Linked DNA regions of Canis lupus familiaris. The protein of the gene in region 1 interacts with the protein of each later gene in a pairwise test. Links are inferred from orthologs where the notes say so. Each region holds a gene or a part of one and is shown in the gene's direction. Other genes may lie near its edges. The genes, in order: ITSN1, SNAP25, LMO4, KIF5A, AP2B1, DLGAP1 and CYTH1.

The links.
Region 2: the proteins of ITSN1 (region 1) and SNAP25 interact in a two-hybrid assay, tested with the Homo sapiens proteins (2 studies listed by BioGRID and IntAct). The link is inferred for Canis lupus familiaris from reciprocal best matches to the Homo sapiens genes ITSN1 and SNAP25.
Region 3: the proteins of ITSN1 (region 1) and LMO4 interact in binary tests that used the Homo sapiens proteins (3 or more experiments, as listed by UniProt). The link is inferred for Canis lupus familiaris from reciprocal best matches to the Homo sapiens genes ITSN1 and LMO4.
Region 4: the proteins of ITSN1 (region 1) and KIF5A interact in a two-hybrid assay, tested with the Homo sapiens proteins (2 studies listed by BioGRID and IntAct). The link is inferred for Canis lupus familiaris from reciprocal best matches to the Homo sapiens genes ITSN1 and KIF5A.
Region 5: the proteins of ITSN1 (region 1) and AP2B1 interact in binary tests that used the Homo sapiens proteins (3 or more experiments, as listed by UniProt). The link is inferred for Canis lupus familiaris from reciprocal best matches to the Homo sapiens genes ITSN1 and AP2B1.
Region 6: the proteins of ITSN1 (region 1) and DLGAP1 interact in a two-hybrid assay, tested with the Homo sapiens proteins (2 studies listed by BioGRID and IntAct). The link is inferred for Canis lupus familiaris from reciprocal best matches to the Homo sapiens genes ITSN1 and DLGAP1.
Region 7: the proteins of ITSN1 (region 1) and CYTH1 interact in a two-hybrid assay, tested with the Homo sapiens proteins (2 studies listed by BioGRID and IntAct). The link is inferred for Canis lupus familiaris from reciprocal best matches to the Homo sapiens genes ITSN1 and CYTH1.

What each region holds. Positions count from the first base shown.
Region 1 is NC_049252.1:28,830,322-28,834,247, forward strand, and holds the start of ITSN1 (intersectin-1), read left to right. Parts: upstream 1-1,126; 5' UTR 1,127-1,359; intron 1,360-3,926. UniProt on the Homo sapiens protein: Adapter protein that provides a link between the endocytic membrane traffic and the actin assembly machinery. Acts as a guanine nucleotide exchange factor (GEF) for CDC42, and thereby stimulates actin nucleation mediated by WASL and the ARP2/3 complex.
Region 2 is NC_049245.1:12,476,510-12,480,009, reverse strand, and holds part of SNAP25 (synaptosomal-associated protein 25), read left to right. Parts: intron 1-2,843; exon of another isoform or gene 2,844-3,071; coding exon 3,072-3,189; exon of another isoform or gene 3,190-3,363; coding exon of another isoform or gene 3,364-3,481; exon of another isoform or gene 3,482-3,500.
Region 3 is NC_049227.1:61,435,912-61,439,853, reverse strand, and holds the start of LMO4 (LIM domain transcription factor LMO4), read left to right. Parts: upstream 1-1,142; 5' UTR 1,143-1,686; intron 1,687-3,762; exon of another isoform or gene 3,763-3,854; intron 3,855-3,942. UniProt on the Homo sapiens protein: Transcription cofactor. Plays a role in establishing motor neuron identity, in concert with MNX1, acting, at least in part, to disrupt LDB1-LHX3 complexes thereby negatively modulating interneuron genes in motor neurons.
Region 4 is NC_049231.1:2,000,984-2,004,483, forward strand, and holds part of KIF5A (kinesin heavy chain), read left to right. Parts: intron 1-1,992; coding exon 1,993-2,080; intron 2,081-2,190; coding exon 2,191-2,264; intron 2,265-2,661; coding exon 2,662-2,766; intron 2,767-2,988; coding exon 2,989-3,037; intron 3,038-3,500. UniProt on the Homo sapiens protein: Microtubule-dependent motor required for slow axonal transport of neurofilament proteins (NFH, NFM and NFL). Can induce formation of neurite-like membrane protrusions in non-neuronal cells in a ZFYVE27-dependent manner.
Region 5 is NC_049230.1:38,042,700-38,046,782, reverse strand, and holds the start of AP2B1 (AP-2 complex subunit beta), read left to right. Parts: upstream 1-1,283; 5' UTR 1,284-1,435; intron 1,436-1,630; exon of another isoform or gene 1,631-2,011; intron 2,012-4,083. UniProt on the Homo sapiens protein: Component of the adaptor protein complex 2 (AP-2). Adaptor protein complexes function in protein transport via transport vesicles in different membrane traffic pathways.
Region 6 is NC_049228.1:70,475,038-70,479,030, reverse strand, and holds the start of DLGAP1 (disks large-associated protein 1), read left to right. Parts: upstream 1-1,193; 5' UTR 1,194-1,277; coding exon 1,278-1,356; intron 1,357-1,609; coding exon 1,610-2,595; intron 2,596-3,993. UniProt on the Homo sapiens protein: Part of the postsynaptic scaffold in neuronal cells.
Region 7 is NC_049230.1:3,543,606-3,547,105, forward strand, and holds part of CYTH1 (cytohesin-1), read left to right. Parts: intron 1-637; coding exon 638-786; intron 787-1,176; coding exon 1,177-1,288; coding exon of another isoform or gene 1,289-1,289; intron 1,290-3,500. UniProt on the Homo sapiens protein: Promotes guanine-nucleotide exchange on ARF1, ARF5 and ARF6. Promotes the activation of ARF factors through replacement of GDP with GTP.

The sequences.
Region 1 (3,926 bases):
AAATTATAGGAATAAAAAGAAAGCAGGGGTGGGTGTGCAAAAAATATCCAACCTGGGAGATTCAGGGGAAGGGAACTTCCCGACTCTGGCTTCTATAAATGTAAAGAGAGATGCAAATGGAGATAAAACCCACAATCAAAACCTGTAAGGACCAGGAAATGGTCAAGTCTTTCCCGCCCCTCGGCGGCCTCAGCTAAGCTAGGCCTGGGCCCAAGAGGGTCTGGGGTTGGGGTGCAACGCGACCCACCACTCACCCCAGGGCTGCACGGTTCCGCGAGGCGTCCAAAGTCCAAGGCCCCGCTTCCAAAGACACAGAATCCAGGTCCGGGGACTCACCTGCCTCCGAGGCGCCCCAACGGCCTGCGTCTTCGCCACCGCCACCTTGGAGTCCTACTGCAGAGGGCCCGCCCCCGCTGGCCCAGGCGCTGCTCCCATTGGTCAGGCCTCTCGTCACTTCTGGACCGGAGGCTGTGGAGAACGCCATAGCAACCGAACGCAGAACTACATCTCCCAGAATGCCCCGCCCGGACGAGACGCCCCGGGGCTACCAATAAAAGGGCGAAGTTGTAGTCTCACGGATGGGTTCCGTTTTATGCAAATTTCTATTAAAGACCACACCCTTCCTCATTCCAACCGTTTGCCCTACCGCCTTCCTTGGGCAGTGACCCGCCTCTTTTTCCGCCTCCACGTTGCTCTCTCCCTTAAAACCTTTTGTAATTGACTTAGGTGGATACAGCTTAATAAGTGCCTCGCAGGACAACGGACGGATGCACCCAAACCGGTGCAGCTCCAGAAGGCGGGTCAGGGAAATCCCAGTCCAGAAGGTTACGCCTTCTGGGAAGGGGGCGGGGAGAAGTGACAAGCGCCCGCCCACCAACCCCCTTTGCGCGCTCGCTGATTGGTTCACGTGGCTGTCACTCCGTGCTCTTCCATTTTTTTTTTAGTTGCCCCCGCCTCGTTCCCGCGGTGGGCGGGGGCAGCGGCAGGGGGCGGTGAGGAGGCGCGAGCGCCTTCTTGCGATTGGCGAGTGCCGGCTCCCACCCATCCGTGGGCGGAGATGGTGGCCGGGACGGGGGCGGGAGAGGCGGCGGAGGGAGATGAGGAGATAGGTGGGAGCGAGGGAGCGAGGGAGGGAGCGAAGGAGGTAGAGAGGAGCGGAGGAGAGGGGAGGGAGCGCAGCTTGGTTGCTCCGTAGTACGGCGGCTCGCGAGGGAGAATCCCGAGCGGGCTCCGGGGCGCACGGGCGCACGGGCGGGCGGGGATGGTGTGCGGGGCTGCGGCTCCTGCGTCCCTCCCCGCGGCGAGTGAGCTGCACTGATTTGTCCCTGGGGCGGCAGCGCGGACCCGCCCGGAGATGAGGTGAGGAGCAGGCTGGACCGGGCGGCGGGGGCGGCGGCGGCGGGGGCGGGGGCGGGGGCGGGGGTCGGCGCGATGGCCGCCCGGGGCGCGCGTCCCTCGGGCCGCCCTGCAGCCTTCGCCCGGGAGGCGCGGCACCCGCCGCCCCTGCGCGTCGTCCTTCCCATCCTCCCGGGGGCGGCGGCGGGGCGGCCGGTGGGGCGGCCGGTGGCCGGCGCGGGGAGGCCGGGACGCCGCGGCGGGCCGAGCGGGTGGCGGCGGCTGCACGGGCTGCGGGCTGAACGCGCGTCCGCAGCCCCGGCCGGCCGAGCGGGGCGCCTCCGTCCGCGGGGGCGAGGGGGCGTCCGGGCCGAGCCTCCCGGGGACCCGGCGCCCGCGGGCCTCGAGCCCCCGGCTCATCCCCTCGTCTCCGTCGCGCGCCGGTGAAGGGCAGTCAATGCCGCTCGGCCCCGAGGCGCCCCGCCGGGGGTCCCCCTCCGCCGCGAGCGCGCGTCCCCGGGGTCCGCCGCTCCTCCCGGCCGCCGCCTCGCGGTGCGGACCCCGCGGGGCCACCGCTGCGGTCCCTGCTCGCCCCAACGACGACCTGGGACCGGGATCCGCAGGAAAAGGAACCCGGCCCATGGGGTGCACCTTCCTTGACTTCTCCGTCTGCCTCGGGATTAGAAAACAACTTCGCAGATAACATTCCCGACGGGCATCTTTTGTTGTGATTTCGGACTGGAGACGGGCTTTGCTTTTGAAGAAATAAATTCGCGTCTTTTCAGAATTAATTAATTAATTATTATTATTTTTTTGATTGCCCCGCTGAGTGGGAGGCGGTGGAGATTTCTGATAGCCCCTTAATATGAAAGTTTCCCTTAGAACTTTGTCATCATCACTGCTATTCTGAAGACAGCACCAGCCTGAAATTTTAAATATATGCGCACTCCGGACAGATGCCGTCTCTTTGTGCTTATCCCCGGGCATCCCGCTCTCGCCGTTTCCGTGGTCAAACGCGCAAATGATAGAAGCAAGCACAGTAAAAAAGGACAGATAATAAAAACAAATGCATCTGGGAAAAAAAAAATCTCAATTCCGTTGACGGAGAGAGGCAATGTCACTAATCCCTTTGAACGGATGAAGAACACACAGGCTCAGAGATCTCATGCATTAGGCAGTGGACAGGATCTGAGGTTAGGAACTGGGGCCAGGACCCAGCAGGCCAGCTGGTTCGCGAAGTGCCACTCTCAACCCCTAAAATGGGAGGGATGTATTTGCCTGGATACCTTTATTTTTAGCTGATGTAAGGTTGCAGAAGCTTAAATTTCTCTCTTCAAGGTTAGGATTTCTACCTGTTTATCTCTGCAAACAAAATGCTGGGTTTTTTCTTTAAAAGATTTTTTTTTTTCCCTTCTAGTTTACATGACACATTTATGTTGCACTCATGGTGTTTGTTTTATAACTAAAAATGTACGTCCTTGTAATATCCAGGGGAAATTTTTTTTTTTTTTTTTTTTTTTTTCTGTAGGAGGTTGGTAAAGAACCCAGGAACTTTTTTAGGTAATCTAAATTGGAAATGAAGGGACACTAATTTAGTGGTGGCATTAAAACTATTTAAAAAGCATTTCTGATAGAATTTTCTTTTAAATGGCGTTTCTTTATCTAAGAATGTGTTGAAGTTGCCGAGGCACATGGCACCTTCACAAAACTCTATGATTATTATTCTGCCTGAGTAGGAGAGGAAATGAACAAATTTTTGATGTACTTTGGAACCCTGTGGATTGTTCAGATACTAAGCATTGTGAAATAGGGCATAAAATGAGTAGTAGCAAGTTAGTTCCCTGAAATGTTTGTCCCTCTTAGCATTTTTTTTTTCAATTTACTAGAAATTTCCTTTTTCTTAATGCTTATCTCTTCTGTTGGTAGAACTCAAGTTCATCTTTTCAGCAAATGCCTAGTTTGAGGAAAATTCAAATATCCCATAAGATGTTAAGGGGGAGGTGCTGGTAAATTGCTCCATTCTTACTCATCTTTTTAATTTGCTAGATTTGTGAATGACACAGAATTAATTACGTGAGGGTTGGGTTTATGTTACTTGGTTCAGGTTTCACTGCCATAGCACTAGTCTCTTTGGAATGATCATTTTCTTCTGAATGGCTCCACTTACTGGTGGGTTTCTCAAAGTCTGGACCTCAGATCATTTAGATCAGCATTAAGTGAGGTTCTTGTTAAAAATACAGGTTTTTTTTTTTTTTTTTTTTTTTTGTCACCTTACTTCAGAATCCGATTCCTGGAGATGGGACCCTGGAATCCGATTTTTAAACAAGTTCTCCAGGAATTTCTCTTGGAATAGAAAAGTTGGAGAACAGCTGGCCCTGTGCTTTCCTTCTCCTAAGACCGTCCCCTGAAGTGGATAGCAGATTTTAAGTAGCAGACTAAGTTTTATACCTTAGGCTGCTAATAAAAAATGGACTACGGGGATCCCTGGGTGGCGCAGTGGTTTGGCGCCTGCCTTTGGCCCAGGGCACGATCCTGGAGACCCGGGATCGAATCCCACATCAGGCTCCCGGTGCATGGAGCCTGCTTCTCCC
Region 2 (3,500 bases), on another chromosome or scaffold:
CCTTGGGAAAATCCCATGGGATCAACGCCAAACTAAACAGTGAAATCTTTGACCTCTGCCTGACAGAGTAAGGGCAGAGTAAGGCCTCTTCCAGAGTGCCAGCTGACTTTCTTAAAAGGTTCATGGCACTACAAAGTAGCATTTGAGAAAACATTTCTTTTGCTAACATTTACACACCAGTATCTGTTATGAATAACTAAAGCTGCACTGTCCAATACGGTAGCCACTAGCCACATATGGCTACTTAAATTTATTTAATGAATTTCCATTTGTTCATCAAGGATAATGAAAATCATATAGGCAGCATCTGGTAACTGAATATACTTATAAAGGCTTCCACACTGGGTCAATAGCATTGACATCTTGCTCTTCTTCTACTGTTTGTTTCTTTTTTAATCAGATTGAGTATTCTAAGGGCCTCATGTTGCCTTACTTTAGAAAGATTAGTAGAAAAGATGTCTAAACTTAGATCCCTGAGTATCCTGCCATTGGTGGAACTATCATAAATAACCAGTCATCCCAATATGGCAAAAGAAGGTACAATCTCTTGCCCAAACGTATAGTATAATCTACTGGAATACCTCTACTAACTCAAAATGCTATTGTTCTCCCAGTCTCCAAGAATAGACAGAAAACAGAAAACAAGCTTAGGGAGGTAAGAAGCAGTCAACTATGGACAGTACATTGGATCAGCCAGTAAGATGCTGCTGGCCACTCTAGGTTGGAATGAAGATATTGATTATTTTCAAGCATTCCTGAGAGATGTCATCACAGAAATCCATTGAAATGCCATGAAGTCTCAATATGCCTAACACAGTACACTCTAAAAATGAATAGTTAGAATTAACTATGACAAAATGGTCCCACAATATTTTCTAAATTAAGGGATTTGATTTATAATTGTGTAAAATGATAAATTCAACCAATATTAGTAGCTATAAAATCATTTTCTGAATCAACTTTTCTGAAAGAGCTTCAGCATCCCTCTCTTAACTATGGCCTTCGCCTAACAGTCTGGCAACCCATGATTGAACAGCTTGAAGAAATACCAATTGGGACGAGCACATTTGTTTTTATATTTTAATTTGAATTCTCTGGTTCAGAAATACAACTCTTGGGGACCAATTCATGTTTTTATTTTATTATATTTTATTTTTATTACCTCCTAATCCCTGGCCACAGTCAGTGGGGCTTCTGAAATGTTGTCAGAGAAACTCCTCAGGAAGGACAAATGCCTGACTGTGTATCCCCATGCCATAATCTGCGTGTATTCCAGCTATCATTAGTGGAGTATCTCATGTTTTCCCTGAGTCCAGATGCTCCTTCAATCCCATCTCAACCCAGCACTTCAGGAAGCTATTAGCAAGTATTCCTTTGGGATTTCTGTCTGTATTTAATATGGTTCTTCCCTTGACAATGTTGAGCTCCTCTCTCTCTACCAATCCCCCTATTCAATAGATAATTTTATCTATAGACTAATTTATTACAGTCTTAAAAGGGAACTAGAAAGAAGCCTTCGTAAAAGCACAGAATCTTCTAGAATGTAAAGACTTACTTTTTTTTTTTTTTAGTCCTTTTAAAGATTTTCTTAAAGACATTACTAGACCTATCCTTATGCAATAGAAGTTCACCAGCACAACACTGTTATTTTCTACAGCTATCCAATGCTGCAGAAACATTTAAATTTTGCCTTCATCCATCATTTGAAAAGCATGGCACAGGTAGCAGATTCCAAATAAGCTGGATTCTATTCTTTAGCCCCATTAATGAAAACACAATAGACTCTTGTTTTCTAGATAGACCGTTTCCCCAGTTTGGGTCAGTAAGGAACTTTTCTTCATTTTTTGGAATAATTTCCACTGGACAATTTAATGTGAAATTCTTTTTAAGCAATTATTTATGCCCTTAGACTCGAAATGTATTTATCAGTTTTATTCTAATCAAGCTTTTATTCCTAAAGGGAAGGGACAGGTGTGCATAGAAATGTAGATTAAAAGAGGGATGGAAGTATAATTAGGGTTTGTAACTAGACAGCCAAGACATTGCACTGCTGCTTTCCTTTAACGGTCTTAAAAACTGTTTTTAAAACCCCTTCACTGAACTTGTAATTTACTCAGTGTGGTGCCATAACTTTTGAAAAATTAATCAAGTTAGTGAATGTAACCCTGGCAACCTAGAAGCATGAGCTGGTTTTATGGCTATCGATCTATGTCTCAGATGCACTCAGGTCCGCTTTGCTGGCAGTAATGACTCCGTACTGTTCTATGTTCCAGCCCATCACCCCTCCTCCAGAGACCCATGTGTTTGTTTTCCCTGCTGTCTGCCTGAGTTAGGGATCTAACATGCCCCCCATTGTAGAGACTGGGAAATCAGGAGGCAGAGAAGTGAAATGCCTTCCAGAACTTTGATAGCAAGTAAGTCATAGGATGAAGAGAGGAATTTAAATGTCCCAGTGCTTGGAACATTACTCTGCTGATGTTGCTTCCTTTTTTAACAGTGTCTGTATGAATTAAGTATTCAAAACCAAGAACTGCCCCTGGGCTAGGGAGCAGCCCACTGCTAGGGAAAAAAAGATCTGGTACCCATTGCTAATTATCACTTTAATTGTTATTTTCCCCAAAGAAGATTGATTCTATTTGCTACCCTTACCTGGTCCAGGATGCTTACAGCCAAAAAATAGAGATATTTAAAGTTGAGACAGATACCTTTTCTAGTAGCACTAAATCTGAATTCCTAAAACATTAACACCCTGTTTTTCTTTCTCTCGGGTTTCATTGGTGCCTGAGTAAGTGACTATGCTGTGCTGTTTTCCTGGATCCTCAGAATCAAACAGGCCTACGTACCTCCATCCCATCATGTCCGAATTACAGACTCTTTTGAACATCTTTCTTGTTCATTTCCTTCCACCTGTGCTCGTGTAAGGTGGCAGCAGTCTACAGCAATGCATCCTCTGGGATCGTGCATTGTAATATCTTTCTCTTTCAAATTCCGTTCCACATAGTCATTTCTCATGTTCTGTTGGAAACCCAAAAAAAATTCATTCCACACTGTCATCCCTTTGTCCTAACCAGAACAACTCGATCGTGTCGAAGAAGGCATGAACCATATCAACCAAGACATGAAGGAGGCCGAGAAAAATTTAAAAGATTTAGGGAAATGCTGTGGCCTTTTCATATGTCCTTGTAACAAGTAGGTACTGGGTACCAGCTCTAATCTGTGGCGTCCAGTTTTCTTTTTTTTCTTCTTTCTTTTAATTTTTTTCTTTTTTAATGTCAAAGTGAATGTCTGAAGTTTTGTCTTTTTTTTCTTTGTCCTTTTCCATCTGCTTCATTCTGTGGGGATAAAATACTTGTGTTTAATCAGAACAACTGGAACGCATTGAGGAAGGGATGGACCAAATCAATAAGGACATGAAAGAAGCAGAAAAGAATTTGACGGACCTAGGAAAATTCTGCGGGCTTTGTGTGTGTCCCTGTAACAAGTAGGTGCTGCCTGCCTGC
Region 3 (3,942 bases), on another chromosome or scaffold:
GTTAAATTTATACTAGACGTGACCTTTCTTCCTCCCCAGAGGCTGTGGGATGGTGAATGTTGCCATTCCTTGTTGCTGTCTGGGGGGGGAGGGGGGGGGGGACGGGGGGCTTGAGGAATCGGGCCTCTCCTCCTGCACAGCAGGGGTGGATGGAGGCCGAGCCCTCCTCCCTGAAGTTCCCCTGGACCCCCAAAGTCCGGGCTGTGAGCTCTTCAGCTCCGACTTCGGACGATCCCCTACGAGACGCCCACGGGGCTCTCGGCCGGCGCTCGGGCCCACGCGGGGGACCGGGGCCGGGCGGCCAAGTCCTGCAAGACCTGCGGACTCGGTCCCCACCTCCTCGCTCGCTCAACTTCCCACTAAGGGCTCATCCGTCTCCAACGCCCGCGAATTAAAGGCAGAAAAACAAAACCTCTTCTGCGTGCGAGCGAAGCCCCCCGCCCGGAGGTTTCGGGGAGACTCTTCCTCCCCAACAGGAGGGGACCCATTTTTGAGCAAGACGAGAAGTTTCCTGCGGGGCTCGCGCGGGCGCGCGGGGGGGGGGTCCCCGAGGGGCGCGCGGGTGCGGGTCCCCGCGATCGCCGGCGCGGGCAGGAGCGGCGCCCCCGGCCGCTCCATCCTGCCCCCCGCGGGAGGGGGTTGGGGTCCCGCCGGGGGTCCCGCGAGGGTCCCCGGGGCTCGGCCGCCCACCTGCCCCCGGCCGGGCCGTCTCCGCCCGCCGCCTCCCCCGCTCCCCCGCCCGCGGAGTCTCGTTCCAGTCCTCCCTTTGTCCTGCCCCGGATTGGCAGGTTTTATTATTCCGCCTGAACAACCCGGCCGCCCAGTGGCTGAGGGTCGCTGACGTCGGCGGCAGAGCCGGGGAGTAGTTGGGATTCGGCTCTGTCAGTAACACATGTGTAAGCGCCGCGCAGGGAGCGAGCGAGCCGGCTAGAGGCCAGCGCCGCCGCCGCCGCCGCCTCCTCCGAGCCGGGCGGCCGCCGCAGCAGCAGCAGCCCGGGCAGCGGCGCAGGCTCCAGCGCGCCGGGCCCGGCCGGCCGCAGCTCCCCGGCTCCCGGCCTCCGCGCCGGCCGCCGCCGCTCCGGGGCTCTGGTGCCCGCGGCCGCTCCCCGGCTGGAGGGGCAGGAAGCGCGGCCGAGCGCCCGCCGCCGGCCCCGAGCGAGCGAGCGGGCGAGCGAGCGGGCGGGCGGGCGCGCGGGAGGGAGGAAGGCGGAGGAGGAGGAGGAGGAGGAGGAGCGGGAGGCGCGCGGGCGGGGGCGGGGGCATATACAAAGTGAAGCCACATTGCCAAACTTGCAGCAGCGATTGCAGCAGTTGCTGCCGCTGCGCCGCGCCTGAAGCCGCGCCGCGCGGGCCGCGGGCTCCTGCAGCTGCTCGCGCGGAGCCGGAGCCGGAGGCGGAGGCGGAGGACGACGCGGAGGACTCAGCCTGACACTCCAGCTCCCGGCCGCCTGCCGCTTACGGCGGGGCCCCCCGACCCAGCCTCAGGGCGACGCGTTTAAAAAAAAAAAAAAAAAAAAAAAAAAAAAGCAGCCCTTAGCCCCCTCCTCCCCTTTCCTGCTTCTGCGAGAACATCCCCCCTCCCTCCAGCTCCGCCAGCCAAGGCGCCCCTTCCTTGGAAGCCGAGCGGCTTCGCTCGCTTTTCGCCGCCGCCGCCTCTCGCAGTATTGCAATATAGGGGAAAAGCAGGTAAGGGGACGGCTGGGGAGCCGCGGGCGAGGGGGGGCAGAGGGAGGAGGGGGCCGATGTGGGCCAGGGCTGTTTTCTTTGGCTTCCTTCCCTTGACCGTCCCAAATTGCAAGTAAACAATACGTCGGCTTGGATAATGCGCGAGTCTGAAACTACCGAGGCCGGCCTGCGAGCTAGCACGGAGGGCAGCCGGCCCCGGGCCGCCAGCTTTGTAGCGGTTCCTGCTTACAAAAGGGTTCTTCTTGGAGACGGGGCTGCTGGGGACCTGGGAGGGTGGGGAGGGGTGTGTGTGCGTGTGTGCGTGTGTGTGTGTGTGTGTGTGTGTGTGTGTGTGGTAGTGGGGGGGTATTTTCAGTTCCTAAGGGAAAGGCCGGAGGTGCTTAAATGAGGGTTTAAGTATGAGAAGTAGTGTGGGGGAAATAGTCACGACCCCCCCCCCCAGCCCCCCAGTAAACACTATTTTTGAAACAGTGGCAGAAAGGATCTAAGTGAGCAGGATTCAGTATTGCTGGTTCTTTTCAAAAATTCCTCTTGGCTTATAAGTCTTTTGTTCCAATCCAGGAGAAATCCGGTGAATCACCTAATTAAAATCAAGACATGAATTAAGCATCCATTTTTGTACTACAAATTGCCAGCGCTACGTTTGTCCCTCCCCTGGTCTCCATTAAAAAACACCAGAGACGTTGTTAAAGGGGGGCAGATTTTGCCTCTAGCTGCCAGTTCTGCTTTCTATTTCACTGACTATCCCAGGACCTAAATTGCTTGGCTATGTAATTACTAGAGTATAAGCCTATTTAACTTAAAAGCTTTCTTTTTTTTTTTTTTTTTTTTTTCCAACTCTAAATGAAACTTGATGAGGGCCCGTCCTTAGTTATCAGGGGAGTCAGTTTCTGGTCAGTCCTCTTGATTCATCTCTTTTAGATTTAATCAGCATTAAGGTATTGCTTGTCCTTAAGAGCTTTAGCTAATGGGGTTACTGGATGCTTTTCTCAGTGTAATGTTTCCTTTTCGAAAAAAATATACATATATATTTACCTCTCACCAAAGATGGGGGCGGGGAAGAGCTTGGAATCTCCTCCCTCCCTCTCCCCTTTTAAAAAGGAATTCGGAGCGATTAAAACGTTGGGGGAAACAGTTTAAAGACCTCGGGCAGGAAATGCAGATTCATTTGGGTTAGGGCTGAAATTGTAACAAAAAGCAATTCCTCGAGTAAATGCATCAGATAAATCAATTTACATAAAGGTATGATGCATTCGGATAAATGCAATGCTAATGGGTTTTAGAGTGGTCCTGTTTCCAAAGTCTCAGGGTTTTGTTACAGCTTAATTGGTGCAGTTCTTATTCTGGTTTATTGTGCGGTCACTGGACACACGTTCCGGGACTCTTTCGGAGGAAATGTGTTTAAAATCGGCCTATTTAAGGAACCCGAGTCCTTGTTTCGTTCCCTTCCCCTGGTTGTTTTTTTTTTTTTTTTTTTTTTTTTTTTTTGCAGCAGCCAAGTTGGGCCGGGGACAGGCAAAGTTCGCCCTCTCCCTTCTGAGGTATCAGCTGAATGTCTTGAGCAGATAGCCGGGAGCCTCGGGGGGAGCCTCCACTCTCGGCTTACAGAGGACAAAGACAAAACAGGCTGCTTAATTGGCAGTAAATAACTTGATCTTTTTATAGAATAAGTGACTGGAGGAACACTAGGACTTTATTGGACTCAGGATTGGAGGCAACAAATTAATCGGTTTAGGCTAAGCTTTATAAATTGATTCCTATATTATACCCCAGTTGCTTCTCGTGACATTCATTAGAAAGAGTGGGGAATTTTTTTAAAAGCAGTTTTTGGTGACAGCAGGACTGGCTCGAATATAACTTGTGCATCCCTTAATAGTGCCTTCTCGCATATTATCTGTAACGTCGCCCCCCCCCCCCCCCCACACACACACACTCCCCCCCCTTTGGAGGAACAAAGCTTTAGCATTTAAATTGCTGATCAAGGGCAGATTAGTGAGACCAAAGTGGAGAGTGTTTGTATAGGAAGTTAACAGGCATCCTAAAGTTCAATGATCTATTATTCTTGCCTGTGTCCTGAAAACCCAGAGAAAACACTCATTGATCTTCAAAATGAAATGAGATTTGGAACAATAATGGGAGATGGCGGTCACCACAATGGCATGTGAAAGGTGCTGTTTAAAATACGAAAAACCAGTTTCGCAACTTTACACACCGCACCCCCTCCCTCGCGTCCCCTGCCTCCCCTCCCACCACCTC
Region 4 (3,500 bases), on another chromosome or scaffold:
GAGCATCTTCACAACTTATTTCTCTTTGTGGATTCCGGTTTTGGGGTTTCAAAGGCTTTTACCAAAGAGAGATCAGACAAATATTTCAGGTAGATTTTTTTTTCCCCATAAGCCAGACTTTTCAAATCTCTTAAATATTAAAAAAATATATCTACTAGTTTTCCTTTATGCAACGAAGTAAAACAAAGGAAACAAAATGAAACACACATTAAGAAATTAAGAAAAAATACTTGTACATGGTTTAAAAATAGAAACAATCCAAGGGCACTGGCTGGCTTGGTCAGAAGAGCATGCAATTCTTCATTTCGAGGCTGTGAGTTTGAGCCCCCCCTTGGATGTAGAGATTATTAAGTAAAATAAAACTTAAAAATTTAAAAATATATGTAAGTGGGACACCTGGGTGGCTCGGTGTTGAGCATCTGCCTTTGAATCAGGGTGTGATCCTGGCATCCCGGGATCAAATCCCATATTTGGCTTCTGCATGGAGCCTGCTTCTCCCTCTGCCTGTGTCTCTGCTTGTCTCTCTCTGTGTCTCTCATGAATAAATAAATAAAATCTTTTAAAATGTGTGTGTGTGTGTATACACACACACATATATATGCAAGCCAAGATACAAAATGTAAAATAAGGGATCCCTGGGTGGCGCAGCGGTTTAGCGCCTGCCTTTGGCCCAGGGCGCGATCCTGGAGACCCGAGATCGAGTCCCACATCAGGCTCCCGGTGCATGGAGCCTGCTTCTCCCTCTGCCTGTGTCTCTGCCTCTCTCTCTCTCTCTCTCTCTCTCTCTCTGTGTGACTATCATAAATAAATAAAAATTTTAAAAAATGTAAAATAAAAGACTTGTCTCTCTTCAAAGTAATCATTGTTAACATTTTTTGTATAATTCCTTCTAGAAAAAAGTTCTATGTATAGATGGAATATTATGAATATTCCTAGAGCCGTTATCTCCAGCTCTGACCAATTAAAATTTTATGACTTCCTTAATTAGTTGAAACATGTCTCCCCAACTCTGGTGACCATAGACCTAGGAGCTTTACATTTCAGTTGGATAAAGATGGGGTCTATAGTAAAACAACTTGACAACTAAGTCATAATCTCTTTATACTGAATGGCAGGAAAACATGACTGAGAAATTTGTCATTTGTGATGGAGAACAAGCATAGTCTTATTTAATCTTACCAGAAAAAAAATCTTACCAGAGATCTGCACTTTAGTATGATTACATAGTGAATATATTCTTTGTTTGGTTCCCCAGGTTTTAAATATTTTGTATCTTTAGCATGCTTGTTAGCACATGATTTGTAACATAACCTAAATGAAACAAAGTACTTGTAGGTCAGTAATTTGTTTCAGTATCTCTTTGCTAAAAGGAGGCCCATGATTCTGATTTCATATATTTCTTTCACGGAGAGAGAGCTTGTGTTAATGTTTGAACAACAGCTCAGCATCTTGGTGTACCTGTATTTCATTTACACAATAGGGAACATAACCGACATGTGCCCCTAACTTTGCATCTTTCATTTAATGCATCTTGAAGATTCGTCCGCATCAGGACATATGCATCTATTGAGGAAGATATTTTTAAACCTAGAGGTAGATTTTTAATGTTAATGAATTGTCTTTCACTCTTCACGGCCTGCGGCCCTACTGTCTTTTCCCATTGGTTTCCCAGGGAAAGGCCTGGAGTGGTGCAGTACTAAGTCATCACACCAAGACTGAGATCCCCTCACACAGTCTGAGGCTGTGACACTTCTCAATGGTGCTCTCTAGCGCACAGGAACAGCTCCTGGTGTCAGCACCAACTTTTGCTCCTCTTTGTCTGGTTTCCTTCATCCCGCCCCCCCCCCCCCCCCCCCCCCCCGCCCCAAACTGTCCGTGGATATAGATGGCTGAAAAACAGGTACCTTCTCAGGCTAATGGAAGGGGGCTGCAGCATTTCTTCTTCCTCATTTCCTGACTCCTGATGTCTGCCATGTTTTATTTCCATTCTAGGGGAAGCCATATGTCTTTGACCGTGTGTTCCCCCCAAACACGACTCAGGAGCAAGTTTATCATGCGTGTGCCATGCAGATTGTCAAAGGTAGCATGTATTATCTTTGTAAGATGTATTTTTAGAATGTATATTTTCTGGTTCCCCATTCCCTACTCCACTTCTTTCCACCAATGCTCTTTCTTGGCTATGTCTTCCAGATGTCCTTGCTGGCTACAATGGCACCATTTTTGCTTATGGACAGACATCCTCAGGGAAAACACATACCATGGAGGTGAGGGCTCTGACTTTCATGAGGGGTGAGGAACTGTGAGTGTTAATGAGAGGCCAAGGAATCTCAGGCAAGATCTAGGAATCAAGCTTGCTTGGTCTGGAGGATGAACTGAGGGGCAGGATTATAATGGAAGCTTGGTGAAATCCCTCTAGCCTGCTGCAGTTTCCCATCCTTTCCACTACTCCAGTTTGCTTCTTTTGATCCAGAAAAGCAGCTGCAATAAAGGTCCAAAGGGACCCTCAGTTCTCTCCTTGTTCTCGGTAGACATGGCAGTGACTGCCTTGTACCTTCAGATGATCCTCTCATCAACTATCACCTTCATGTTCACCTGTTGACCTCTTGGGTGGCCTCATTGTTTTGAGTTCCAGTCTCAGTCTCAGATACTCTTCCTCTCCAGGGAAAGCTGCATGACCCCCAGCTGATGGGAATCATTCCTCGAATTGCCCGAGACATCTTCAATCACATCTACTCCATGGATGAGAACCTGGAGTTCCATATCAAGGTGATCACGGTTTAACAGCTGGGTGTCGTCAGAGAGGGACTAGGAGGAGAAGAGCTAGTATGAACTCATTGAGAACCTGGGCACCCCAACTTATTTTCCTGCCCTGCTTACCACAGTTCTTCTGCTCTATTTCTCTTCCTCCTACTGGTTGAGTGGGTCACATTCACTTGAGATCCCTATATCAGACTTATGATAGGCCCTCTTCACTTTCTCCCTGACCAGGTTTCTTACTTTGAGATTTACCTGGACAAAATTCGCGACCTTCTGGATGGTGAGTGGTGTTTAGCCCCATTGGATGGGCAGGGGTGGGAGGAGAGCAAGGAAAAGAAAGATCACATTGTTCTTGGCAAGAGATGCAGAGGAATCACACACTCATACCCCTGTCCCTTGCCTCCATTCACCAAAATTTCTAAAAGCAAAAAGGGTCAGAAGATGAGCTGAAATACCTAGGCCTATATAGAAACACCCTGAGACCAGCTGGAACCTTAAGGCTAGAATCCTGGAGGAGGAGAAATTTAAGCTTTCAGGGTGTGGGGATTTAAGCTTGATGGGAAAGTCTTTCTCCTTTTTAAAAATTTAATTTATTTGTTTGTTTGTTTGAAAGAGGGAGAGGGAGAGAGGACACAAGTTGGGGGTAGGGGGGGCAGCAAAGGGAGACAGACAAACAGACTCCGCACTGAGTGCAGAGCCTGAAATGGGGCTCGATCTCATAACCCTGAGATCATAACCTGAAC
Region 5 (4,083 bases), on another chromosome or scaffold:
CAATAAATTTTGGGGAGGGGGCTAGGTCTCAGAGATAGAGTGAACAGACTGGTATAGTTCCTACTTTATAGAACTCTAAAAATAGGGGCAGCCCGGTGGGTGGTTCAGTGGTTTAGCGCCACCTTTGCCGCAGGGCCTGATCCTAGAGACCTGGGATCCAGTCCCACGTCAGGCTCCTTGCATGGAGCCTACTTCTCCCTCTGCCTGTGTCTTTGCCTCTCTCTCTCTCTCTCTCTCTCTCTCTCTCATGAATAAATAATCTAAAGAAAAAAGAACTCTAAAAACATGCTAAAACATTTTAACCACCTGCTTTTCCTTCTCCCTTTCTACTTTGCAGTCCCTTTTGCATTTTGGTTTCAAGTTCTGTCCCAGGCTCTCTTGCTTTCCATTTTTTCTTTTTAGCCAAAGACTTACTATTTTTAGAGCAGTTTTAAGTTCACAGCAAGATTGAGGTGGGGGTACAGAGATTTCTAGGTCTTGGTTTCCAAAAGCAACTTACTTTTGTGTAAGCACGCCTATTGTAAGCCAGGTGCTTTACTTACTTGATCTCATTTAAACTTCACAAGCCGGACAGAATTAGATCATTGGCTTCATTTCACAGATAAGGAGATGTTAAGTGATTTATCAGTCATTTTCGTGGCATGGATTTGGACTCAGATTTGATGCCATCTCAACCTGTTTTCTTTTCACTACTATCCTTTGGTCCCACTGCCCGTGGACAGTCCGGGGCTGGGTCACCATTGTCCACAGTCCTGAACTGGCCTGCGAAATTAGCTGAGCTTTATTATTTTTTTAATATTTTATTTATTTATTCATGAGAGACACAGAGAGAGAGAGAGGCAGAGACACAGGCAGAGGGAGAAGCAGGCTCCATGCAGGGAGCCCGACGTGGGACTCGATCCCGGGTCTCCAGAATCAGGCGCTGGACTGAAGGTGGTGCTAAACCGCTGAGCCACCCGGGCTGCCCATTAACTGAGCTTTAAAAAAAATTAAAAAAATAAATAAATAAATAAAAAATAAAAAATAAAAAAAAATTTTTTTTAAATAAAAAGACAGGATATTTCACCTTTTCTATGTGAGAGTTTTTAGGGAGCGCCTGTGTGATGAATCAAGTCCAGAGAACAGCAGCTTGTTTCATACATCCCTCTGCAGAGCCACTGGCCCGGGCGTCCCGCCTCCGGTTTCCAAGCGAAACCCGCCTGTCTCCAAGGCTACGGAGCTCGCCGCCGTTCAGGTTCTCCCGCGCGCGGGGATGACGGTTCGCGGCGAGGTTCTCTGACGTCAGAGTTTCCTGTCCACCATCTTTGTCCCTGGCAAAGTGGGTTTTGCGCAGTGGCTTAGACCTGGAGAAGGAGTCGTGACGTGCAGGAAACCATTACAACACCACTCGGGCCGTGCTCTCTGGCTGCTGCCGCCACCCCCGCCCTTGCCTCCGGTGAGTTCGAGGCGGCTAACTTCGGGGTGTGTCCCTCATTGATTGCGGGGGGGGGGGACCCCAGGTTGCCTTGGAGGCTGGCAGGGGGAAGAGGGAATCCTAGGAGCGTGACCGTTGAGGATGGAGTGAGCCGTCGGGTGTGACCGTTGTGAGGAAGAGGGTCGGAGAAAGGGAGTCCGCCGCTCTGTCGTGGCGAGGGAATCCTCGGGTGTGGCTGCTGGGAGTCGGGGGCACCGGAGGGAAGATCATGTTCGAGGTCGGAGGTTAGGGCCGGAGGCCGGGGTGCGGCCAGTAGAGGCCGAAGGCGAGAGATGTTCCGTCTTCCCCGCTTGGCGTCCCCTCTGAGGCTGGGACATGCCCAGCTAAGGAAAAAGGGAGCGGGATTCCCCCACAGGTTTGTCCATTGACGGGCAAAACTCGCCAGTTTCCCGTAATTCGGGGTTAAGCGACACCTCTCTCCCACCTCGTAATGGAGGACTACATCCCTACGATGTTGACCCCCCCCCGCCCGGGGTGGGGGCAGAAGAGGAATTCCTGACGCTGGAGGGAAGAGAAGAGAAGAGGAAGCAAGTAGGGGTAAATCTTAGCCCAGAATTTTTTTCTTTCCGGGCTCAGCTGGAATGATCTGGTTTGAGAAGTGCTGTAGAGGTAAAGAAACCGGAATGTCCTGTTTATTTCCATGTTCTTTGAATCCGAAGAATTAATTTGTGCCGTTTGTTTTCAGAGCAGTCTTCTACCTGGGGAGAGAGGCTTTTATCGAACTCACCTGGCCTTTTCTTTCTGGAGCAGTGTGCATCAAGTGTTGATGCTTCATTAAACTTTTTTCTTTTTTTTTTTTTAAAGAAGTGTGTCTTATTTTTAACATTTCTTTTTAAAAGGTTTTATTTATTTGGGAGAGAGCATGCACAAGCTAGGGGGAGAGGCAGAGAGAGAGGGAGAAGCAGACTCCCCCCCCCCCCCCCCCCCCCCCCCCAAGCAGGGAGCGCGAGGTGGGGCTTGATCCAGGACTTGGAGATCATGACCTGAGCGGAAGGCAGACGCTTAACTGACTGAGCTACCCACGCGCCCCAAGAAGTGTGTTTTAAATGCCAGATACTGTTTTGATGATCATTTCGGTTTAAAAGAAAAAGAAAATGCCACATGTTTAGAAAAGGCGGGATGACCAAGAAGGTGGTCTCAAGGAGGAACAATTTAAATGATTTAATTACCTTTCTGGAAGTGTATTGCTTAGCCTCAGGGTACACTTAAGAGTAGTAATAGAAAGCAGCGGATGGAGGAGATGCAGCTGTACAAGAAAACGTGTAACACATTCCAGTGATGACTAAGCATGGTGGTAAAGTGAGAACTGTTTGCAGGTATCTTAACAATTTAAACTCCCAAGGAAGCAGAAAGGATAGTGTGTTCTGTAAACAGCCTCACTGGAAAGTTGGGTGGTAAAATTAACACAAAAGCTAACATTCTGTGAGTTAAGAGAGACTCAAGAAAAGCCTACTTCATCTTTTTTTATCCCCCCCCCCCCCCCTTAAACATCCATATTTTGAGATACTACATTTTTATGCACAGGTTTGACCTAAGCTGAGCAAAAAGCGAATTAGATACCATACCTTCTTCTTTCTTCCTTCTTATAGGCTTAAGTTTTCCAGGGTTTTGGTATTTCGGTTAAGAATTGGGTGTAAAACTTGGGGCACCTGGGTGGCTCGGTTTGTTGGGTATCTGGCTTCGGCTCAGGTCATGGCCTTGGGGTCCTGGGATCCAGCCCCGTGTCTGACTTTTGGTCAGTGAGGAGTCTACATGTCCCTCTGCCCCTTGCTCATTCTTTCTCTTAAATAAAATCTTAAAAAAAAATCTGATGTAAAACTTTAGAACTTCTTTCTTATTGTATAATATTAACATTACTATGTAGCCTGCCATAGTTAAATAGAAATCACAAATGTGGGGGTGCCTAAGTGGCTTAGTCGGTTAATCCTTCAACTCTTGATTTCTGCTCAGGTCGTGATCTCTGAGTCATGAGGTCAAACTCATGTCAGGCTTCAGGTTCAGCAGTGTCTGCTTGTCCCTTTCCCTCTGCTTTTCACATGCACTTTTTCTCTAAAATTTTTTTAATAAAGATTATTTATTCATGAGAGAGACAGAGACAGAGACACAGGCAGAGGGAGGAGCAGGCTCCATGCAAGAAGCCTGATGTGGGACTCAATCCTGGGACTCCGGGATCACGCCCGGAGCCAAAGGCAGATGCTCAACCGCTGAGCCACCCAAGCATCCCTTCTCTCTCTAAATTAAATAAATCTTAAAAAAAAAGAAAGAAAGAAAAAGAAATTGCAGAGGTGTCTGTTGTAATTAGATGTCTTGTGATTTTTTATGAACTAAATGATAATGGAAGGCACTATTACCTTTGCATTGAAATATCTAATTATTGGAATATTTGAAATCTCAGAGTCTCACCCTTGTAATAAAAGATGTCTGAATGACCATTTTGCTCTCTAATTGGGTTAACTCCAGCCAGTTTTTCGCTATGAGCACCAAACTGTGTAAAGCCTAACTCTGTAAAAGAAGGGATTTAGTGGCCTCTCCAAGTCTAATTTAGGTGCTATTTCCCAAAGAGCCATTTGAAATTGACCCTATTAATTTTTTTCTGGCCTCTTTTTCTT
Region 6 (3,993 bases), on another chromosome or scaffold:
CATTAGCCCACGTGTGTGTGTGTGTTTTATTTTGTTGTGATTGTTGTTAAGTTAAACCATTTATTTCTCCCTCTCTGAATATGAAATGACATTAGTGATATTTTGGACAGTCATGCTGTCTTTTCAGGACAACTCCTATCATGACAATTTTTGTTACAGGGAGCTTTAAAAATAAATCAGGCTGTTAATAGGAACTCAGCTACCAAAGAAACTAGAGTCAAAAGAAAATACTCTGCCCTGTGGAACAGCAGCCTCTGCTACTAAAGCATAGGAAAGATCTGTGCTTAGAACGAGGTGGGATCCCACAGGTAGATCTGTAGGAGTCACTTCTCTTTGAGGCAGATCTGACCCTCAGGCCCAGGTATTTTGTGTCCTCAGGAACATTTCCAGGGCCTTTCCTTTGGCCCTCTTGCCATCGCTTGTGAACGTTTAACCAGAAACCTTTAAACCAGGAAAAGGAGATGCCATGACATTCAAAGTAGCCAGTTCAAGCTGATCCTTCAACTGCTCTGTTAAGAAGAAGCCATTGGGTCACCTGGGTGGCTCAGTCAGTTAAACGACTGACTCTTGGTGTCGACTCAGGTCATGATCTCATGGGTGGTGTGATGGAGTCTCTCATCGAGCTCCATGCTTAGCCCTGTCTCTGCTTGAGATTCTCTCCCTCTCCCTCTGCACCACCCCCACTCTTGCCTACCCGGGCTCTCCCTCTCTCTCTCAAATAAATACATAGAAGAAAGAAGAAGAAGAAGCAGCAGCAGCAGCTCTTGATCCCTCTGACAAAAAAACAGGGCAGATTTTCTCTACAGCTCTGATTTATTTGCCACCATCGCTATTTTCAACTCTAATCACTTGTGGTGTTGGTGGGGGGGGGGGGGGCGGTTATTTGCGAGCTGTGATGGTCACTACAGAATTCTAACGGGAAAGTCATGTGAGGGAAGGGAGAAAGATCTATCCTCGAGTTATAAGAGGCCAGTCGCTTCTCATTTTTTACCACCCGCATTTATTTTATTTACCCTGATGGAGTGCTTAGCTTGTGTTTACACGGCCAGCCTGGGGCCAGGTGGGGGGGGACAGAAAGGTGGCTAAGGGGTCTAAGCCGACCTGCAAGGAACGGAGGGAAGTAGCCCGGGAATGCCTGAGACAGACAGTTCCATAGGAGCCGGGAGAGTGTGCAGCAGATGCCATGGAAACACCGAGGGGAACTAATTCTCTCGGGAAGGGGGATCCATCCGCAAGGGCTTCCCGGGGAAACTGGGCCTTTGGGGTGCCCGTGCTCGATGATTGACAGACAGGCAAGACGCAAACCTGCGATACAGCCCGTTACCGGAATCCTAGAGGGAGAGGGTCTGCTTTCAGGTGATCTGAAATCAGTTCAGCATGTTCGCAGCCCCCTCCCCGGGTGTGCCAGCCCTCGCCCCCCCCGCCGCTGGGTCCCCGGCTGCGGCGCGCTTTCCCACCCTACCGAGGTCGGAGAGCTGGTCGGACGATGCCCTGAAACCGCCTTGCAGGCTAGCGAGGGCTCCTTCCGCCTCGGGATCCTCCAAAGGGCAACGTCGATGTTCAAGAGAAGTGCTGACCGTCTCCCCCTCTCGTTCCTCCCCGCCCGCAGGTCTCACCCAGCCGCGGGGTGTCATCGCCATGAAAGGGTTATCGGGCAGCCGCAGCCACCACCACGGGGTCACCTGTGACTCGGCCTGTGACTCGCTGCCGCACCACTCGGACCGCAAGCCCTACCTGCTGAGCCCGGTGGAGCACCACCCCGCGGACCACCCCTACTACACGCAGCGCAACTCCTTCCAGGCCGAGTGCGTGGGCCCCTTCAGCGACCCGCTGGCCAGCAGCACCTTCCCGCGCAGGCACTACACGTCGCAGCAGGAGCTGAAGGACGAGTGCGCGCTGGTGCCGCGCACGCTGGCCGCCAAGGCCAACCGCATCCCCGCCAACCTCCTGGACCAGTTTGAGAGGCAGCTGCCGCTCAGCCGGGACGGCTACCACACGCTGCAGTACAAGCGCACGGCCGTGGAGCACCGCAGCGACAGCCCCGGCCGCATCCGCCACCTGGTCCACTCGGTGCAGAAGCTCTTCACCAAGTCGCACTCGCTGGAGGGGCCGGCCAAGGGCAGCGTCAACGGGGGCAAAGCCAGCCCCGACGAGCCGCAGCCCGTGCGCTACGGCAAGCGCAGCAAGAGCAAGGAGCGGCGCCCCGAGCCCAAGGCCCGCCCCAGCACGTCCCCCGGCTGGTGGAGCTCCGACGACAACCTGGACGGCGACGTGTGCATCTACCACGCCCCCTCGGGCGTGATGACCATGGGCAGGTGCCCCGACCGCTCGGCCTCGCAGTACTTCGTGGAGGCCTACAACACCATCAGCGAGCAGGCGGTCAAGGCCTCCCGGAGTAACAGCGACGTCAAGTGCTCCACCTGCGCCAACCTGCCGGTCAACCTGGACGCGCCGCTTCTGAAGAAGAGCGCCTGGTCCTCCACGCTGACCGTGAGCCGGGCCAGGGAGGTTTACCAGAAAGCCTCGGTTAACATGGACCAGGCCATGGTGAAGTCCGAATCGTGTCAACAAGAACGCTCCTGCCAGTACCTTCAGGTACCATTTATGTCGAGGGATGGATGCTTAGAAATTGTCACCTGCCAGTTGTGTGGTGTGTTCTGGGTCCCGGTCTGGGCTCTGCACATTGTTTAGCATTTGTCTGGCCAACTGCTCCTATCAGGAAGCAAACTTGCGACCAACTCCATCCAGTTATCTTGAGATACTAGATATAAAAAGTGCTTTGAAAAGCACGCCTACATAAAGGCAAGGAGTTATTAATGTTTAGTGTTCCTCTTTTGTCTGAGGGAATATGGGATAGGGAGGAGAGGAAAGGGGAGTCCACACAGAATTTTAAAATAAATCCACCTTTTTTTTACAAAAGCCAACAATGATCTTTTGAATTTTGGAAGGAGTTTAATTAGATCTATCCAGAGGGGTTGTTTATTATTATTATTATTATTATTATTATTATTGTAAAATTCTGCCTTAAGCTATTTGTTTGGGAAACTTGATCTATATCGTCACCATTGCAATTGTTGTCACCACCTCCAACACTAACCACACTCCCACCGGAACTCGCCAACCCCCACCCAAGAGCGCAGAGAATGGGAATAAGGCCCTGGGTTCTCAGGAGGTGGAGATCGAGCCAGTTTGGGGACCTGACAAGCACAGCTGCAGAGACCTGGGACAACAGAGAAGAGGAGGAAAAGCGGAGGGAAGCATCCACACAATAAAATGCAATTAGTGTCAGCCTGTAAATCCCACACGGGTACAGACCCCAAGGCAAGCCGCTCCTCCTCTCTCAGTCTCTTCATGTCTTTCCCTAATACCCTTCCATTCACTGAACCTAGATTCCCCTGGATAAAAATGTCAGGAGCAGAGTCTTTTTCTCCCCCACCACCCACCCCTGGGGCCAATTCCTCTATCTAGTAATTTTCATTTTCCCCAAGATACAACCCTCCCAAAGAAGGACCTTCATATTTTTCCTTTTCACGGTGTCTTTTTTTTTTTTTTCTCCCTTCTCTCCTGGTACAACTATCTTTAAAAAACAAACAAACAAAAAAAAAAAAAAAAAAAAAGGTTTTTACTGGACTATAAAGGCATGGCATGATTGTTTTGCACTCTTACCTTAAGAAGAAATGCAAGAAAAAAGGTCTTCTGCTGAGAAATTCAACTTTTTGCTCTCAGAATTCCTCTTGACAAGACTGGCTCCCTTGACAATGCCTCTACCAAACCTTGAGAATATGTCACTGGGCAAGGACAGTGTCCGAGTCCATCCCAGTGTTCAGAAGGTGCCACCAATATGAGGATAGTTTTCACAAACAGCACACAATTCCATAATCAACACCACTCAAAGTGGTATTGCCTCATTTAGTATAAGGTTGCTAGATGAGTTAAGCCACAGAAACTATTAATGGAATTTGAGAGCTAAAGAGTACATCTATTCCAACCTCC
Region 7 (3,500 bases), on another chromosome or scaffold:
GGGATCGAGTCCCATGACGGGCTCCCTGCATGGAGCCTGCTTCTCTCTCTGCCTGTGTCTCTGTCTCTGTTTCTGTCTCTCTGTGTGTGTGTGTGTGTCTCTCATGAATAAATAAATAAAATCTTAAAAAATAATAAAGAATTAAAAAAACAAAAAATTTGTATTTAAGACGAGGCTTTATTGACATGAGGAAAATGCTGATAAGGTTAGCAAAAAAGCAGGATCAAAACTATCTTTCTGCTTTGATTCCAGTTGTTAGAGTGTGCATCTGTGAGATGCATTTGTGATGTGCTGCACTAGGCACATTTGTGTAACGAAACAAAATAAGTCATTAGCAGGTAGAGGGTTCATAGGTATTTGGGATGTTCTTTTTTACACATTGTGTCGTTCTCCAGGTTGCCTGCTGCATTCTCCTTTTGCAATCTGAAAAATAATCACCTTTAAGTCTTGAATACTTGATGCACTTATTTGTGGAACTCTTTAGTCAGCAGCAGTCAGTAGTGTGCATTTAGAAGGCATCCCGATGCGTGGATTTGTCTCATCCTTTTGAGAGCATGGCTTTTAGTTTGATTTCATGGGACATTTCTTGGTCCTTCTGGCCAGATGTTTCTGATCCTCTTTTTGCTTTTCTCTTTAGACACTTGTTACGTCCTCTCATTTGCCATCATCATGTTGAACACCAGCCTGCACAACCCCAATGTCAAGGATAAGCCCACTGTGGAAAGGTTCATCGCCATGAATCGTGGCATCAATGATGGGGGGGACCTGCCCGAGGAGCTGCTCCGGGTGAGCGCACTCTAGCCCAGGTGGTGGTGAACATGGGACAAGAGTGAGACATATGCTCTGCTCGTAAAATTTCTTTAATTATATAAAGTCCATTAAGAAAGTAGTCATGAGGCCCAGCAAGGGAATCAGGAGGGGAAAGTGGTTTATAAGTCTGAAACAAAGTGTGAGAGGAAGTCAGGCTGCTTTCTTTTCTTTCTTAATTATCCATTAGGCATCTTATTTATTTTGTCTCTGCGAGCTGCCCGAAGGCAGAACTGGTCCTGTTCTTCTGTTCGCAGTGCCTGACAAATCATGGCACATAACCTGTGCTTACTGAATGAATGAAGAGAAAGGGGAGGGAGAAGAGATGTTTCTAGAACCAGAGACATGCAATGTCGTCTTTTATCCCAGAATCTGTATGAGAGCATAAAAAACGAACCCTTTAAAATCCCAGAAGATGATGGGAATGACCTCACTCACACTTTCTTCAATCCAGACCGGGAAGGCTGGCTATTGAAACTCGGTAAGTAACGCACTCTGGTCAGGGCTCCTGATGCAGAAACAGAAAGGATGCGTGCGTGCACTCGCACATCCACGCGCTGTGGGAAAGTGGGGTTGGTGACAGGAGGCACTATGGAGAGACTCTGGGATGAAGTGCTAGTGTTCTGGTGAGATCCACCTCCATAGTTAGTGCCCCACGGCATATACAGATACTGCTGGGTGCAGACTCACTCTGCATAAACACTGCTCCCATGGGTTCACACTCCACATTTTTACTGTGCAGTTGATTAGCCAGGTTTTATTTCAAGGCAGTTCCCTGAGAACCTGGTCCTGGTCCTTTCTCTGCCCTCTTCGTCCCTGGGAGGGTGGCCAGCCGTGTCCATCTCTCTACTTCCCATCACACAGATTTATATCTGGCGCTCCCACCCCCCCACCCCAGTGCATCATCACTTCCTTCTGCATCTGGCTCCCCACAGGCAGTATGCATGGCAAACCTGAGCCCTTGGCTGCAATGCGACCCACAGCGCTCTTACTCATTCTCGGGCAGTGGTTCCCCACCCCACCCCCAACCTCCTTTCCAATCCAAATCAGCCACTTTGATGATTTTGTTCATTCAGAAAAAAAAAAATATATATATATATATATATACATATTCCTCTTCCCTCGGCCAAAAGTGAGCTTATGTTGCTGAAATTTGTAATCATGCCTTGTATGGAGGTGATAGAGTAACCAAAAGGAACATTCGTGCCCATGTGTGATTATTTCATTACTTATTCCAAAACACAGAGAGCCCCTGGACATAATTGGCACTTTTTTGGCCCTGGGGGGAGAATACGTTCCTCTTTTCTTCTGCCTTGGCCTTTTGATGCATGGGTTCCCTAATTACCAGGAGGTGCTCCCCCTCTACCATTTCATCGACTAGTCCTGGTGAAATTAGAAGTCGTTACTCTCTCGGCTGTGACTGACACCCCTGAGAAGTGCTGAAATGGAATCTTAAATTTCTGACCAGTTCAGGTAGCAGTAGGATTTATAATTCCTTTAAAGAGCGTAGCCCAAGACCTTGGGTTTCTATATAATTATTTCATAAATTCTCCTGAAAGCACCACTTCTCCAATTGGGGCTTTGGCCATCTCTTGAGTTGGCCGACATTTCTCACGTCTCTAAGCCAGTAGAATCTTTGAAGCGAAGGTTCTAAAATGGCCAACCCCAGAGACAGCCGTCCTGCTCCACGCCTTTCCTGCCAAGTGGACCGAGCTAAAAGGAAACCCACTGGAAATCTAAAAAGTACATCCAAGTTTGGATTTACTTCCCCTCCAGTGAAATTTGTTTAAATGCTAATGCTGAGTGTTAGCTTTGACAGCCCAGATGCTAAAATTAGAACAGTGTAGAGATTATCTTGGCTCTTGTACCAGGATGACATGTAAATTCATGAGGCATCCCATAGTTTTAAAAGGAAAAAAAAATTAACGAAACGTGGGATTTGTTTTGAGGTCATTGCATTACCTTTTCTAAAGCTCCTCCAAAGCCCTAAGTCTTCATATTGTGTTTTCATTGTAGCCACTTAGGATCACCCCCGTGTACTTATGTGCTGCAGAAGGCGGGGCTCCCAGCCATCTGCAGTTGTGTGTGTATGTCCATGTATGCATATGGCCGTAAGAATGTGTATTCTTGTGTGCACACATGTGTACGTATGTATTCATGGGGATATGTGTGTGCATTCTTACACACACCTTAAAAAGTGATAGCCATCTGCAGAGAGACACTAAATTTTCCCCTCTTAGCTCCGGATTCTGGATGTACTAATAAACATTCACTTTGTGAGAATGGATCTGCGGCATATTTGGGGCCAGGTTTTCGGTAGTGCTGCAGATCCCGCCTTCGCCAGGTGGTGCGTGGCGGATGAAACAAGCTCCCCCATTCACACGCCAGACAGTGGCATTCGCCCCGCTAGTGATTTCATGTTTGGCTCCCCCAGGACAGATGTGAATGACTAATACAGTGCACTTTGAGATTAAGGAGTTTGGTTTAATTTCTTTGTTTTAATTTTCTTTTCTCCCTCATTTGTATGTTTCCATGATTTTGGCTCTCCTTTTCCTTGCCCCAAACTCCAGGAGGTATGTAATCCCCCCAACCTGCTCGCTCGCTCTGCCAAGGCCACTGTACTTGCTGCAGCGTTTTTCTTATTTTGTTATTTTTGGTTATTTTGTTTTTTAATTGCTGGTGGTAGTGTTAAT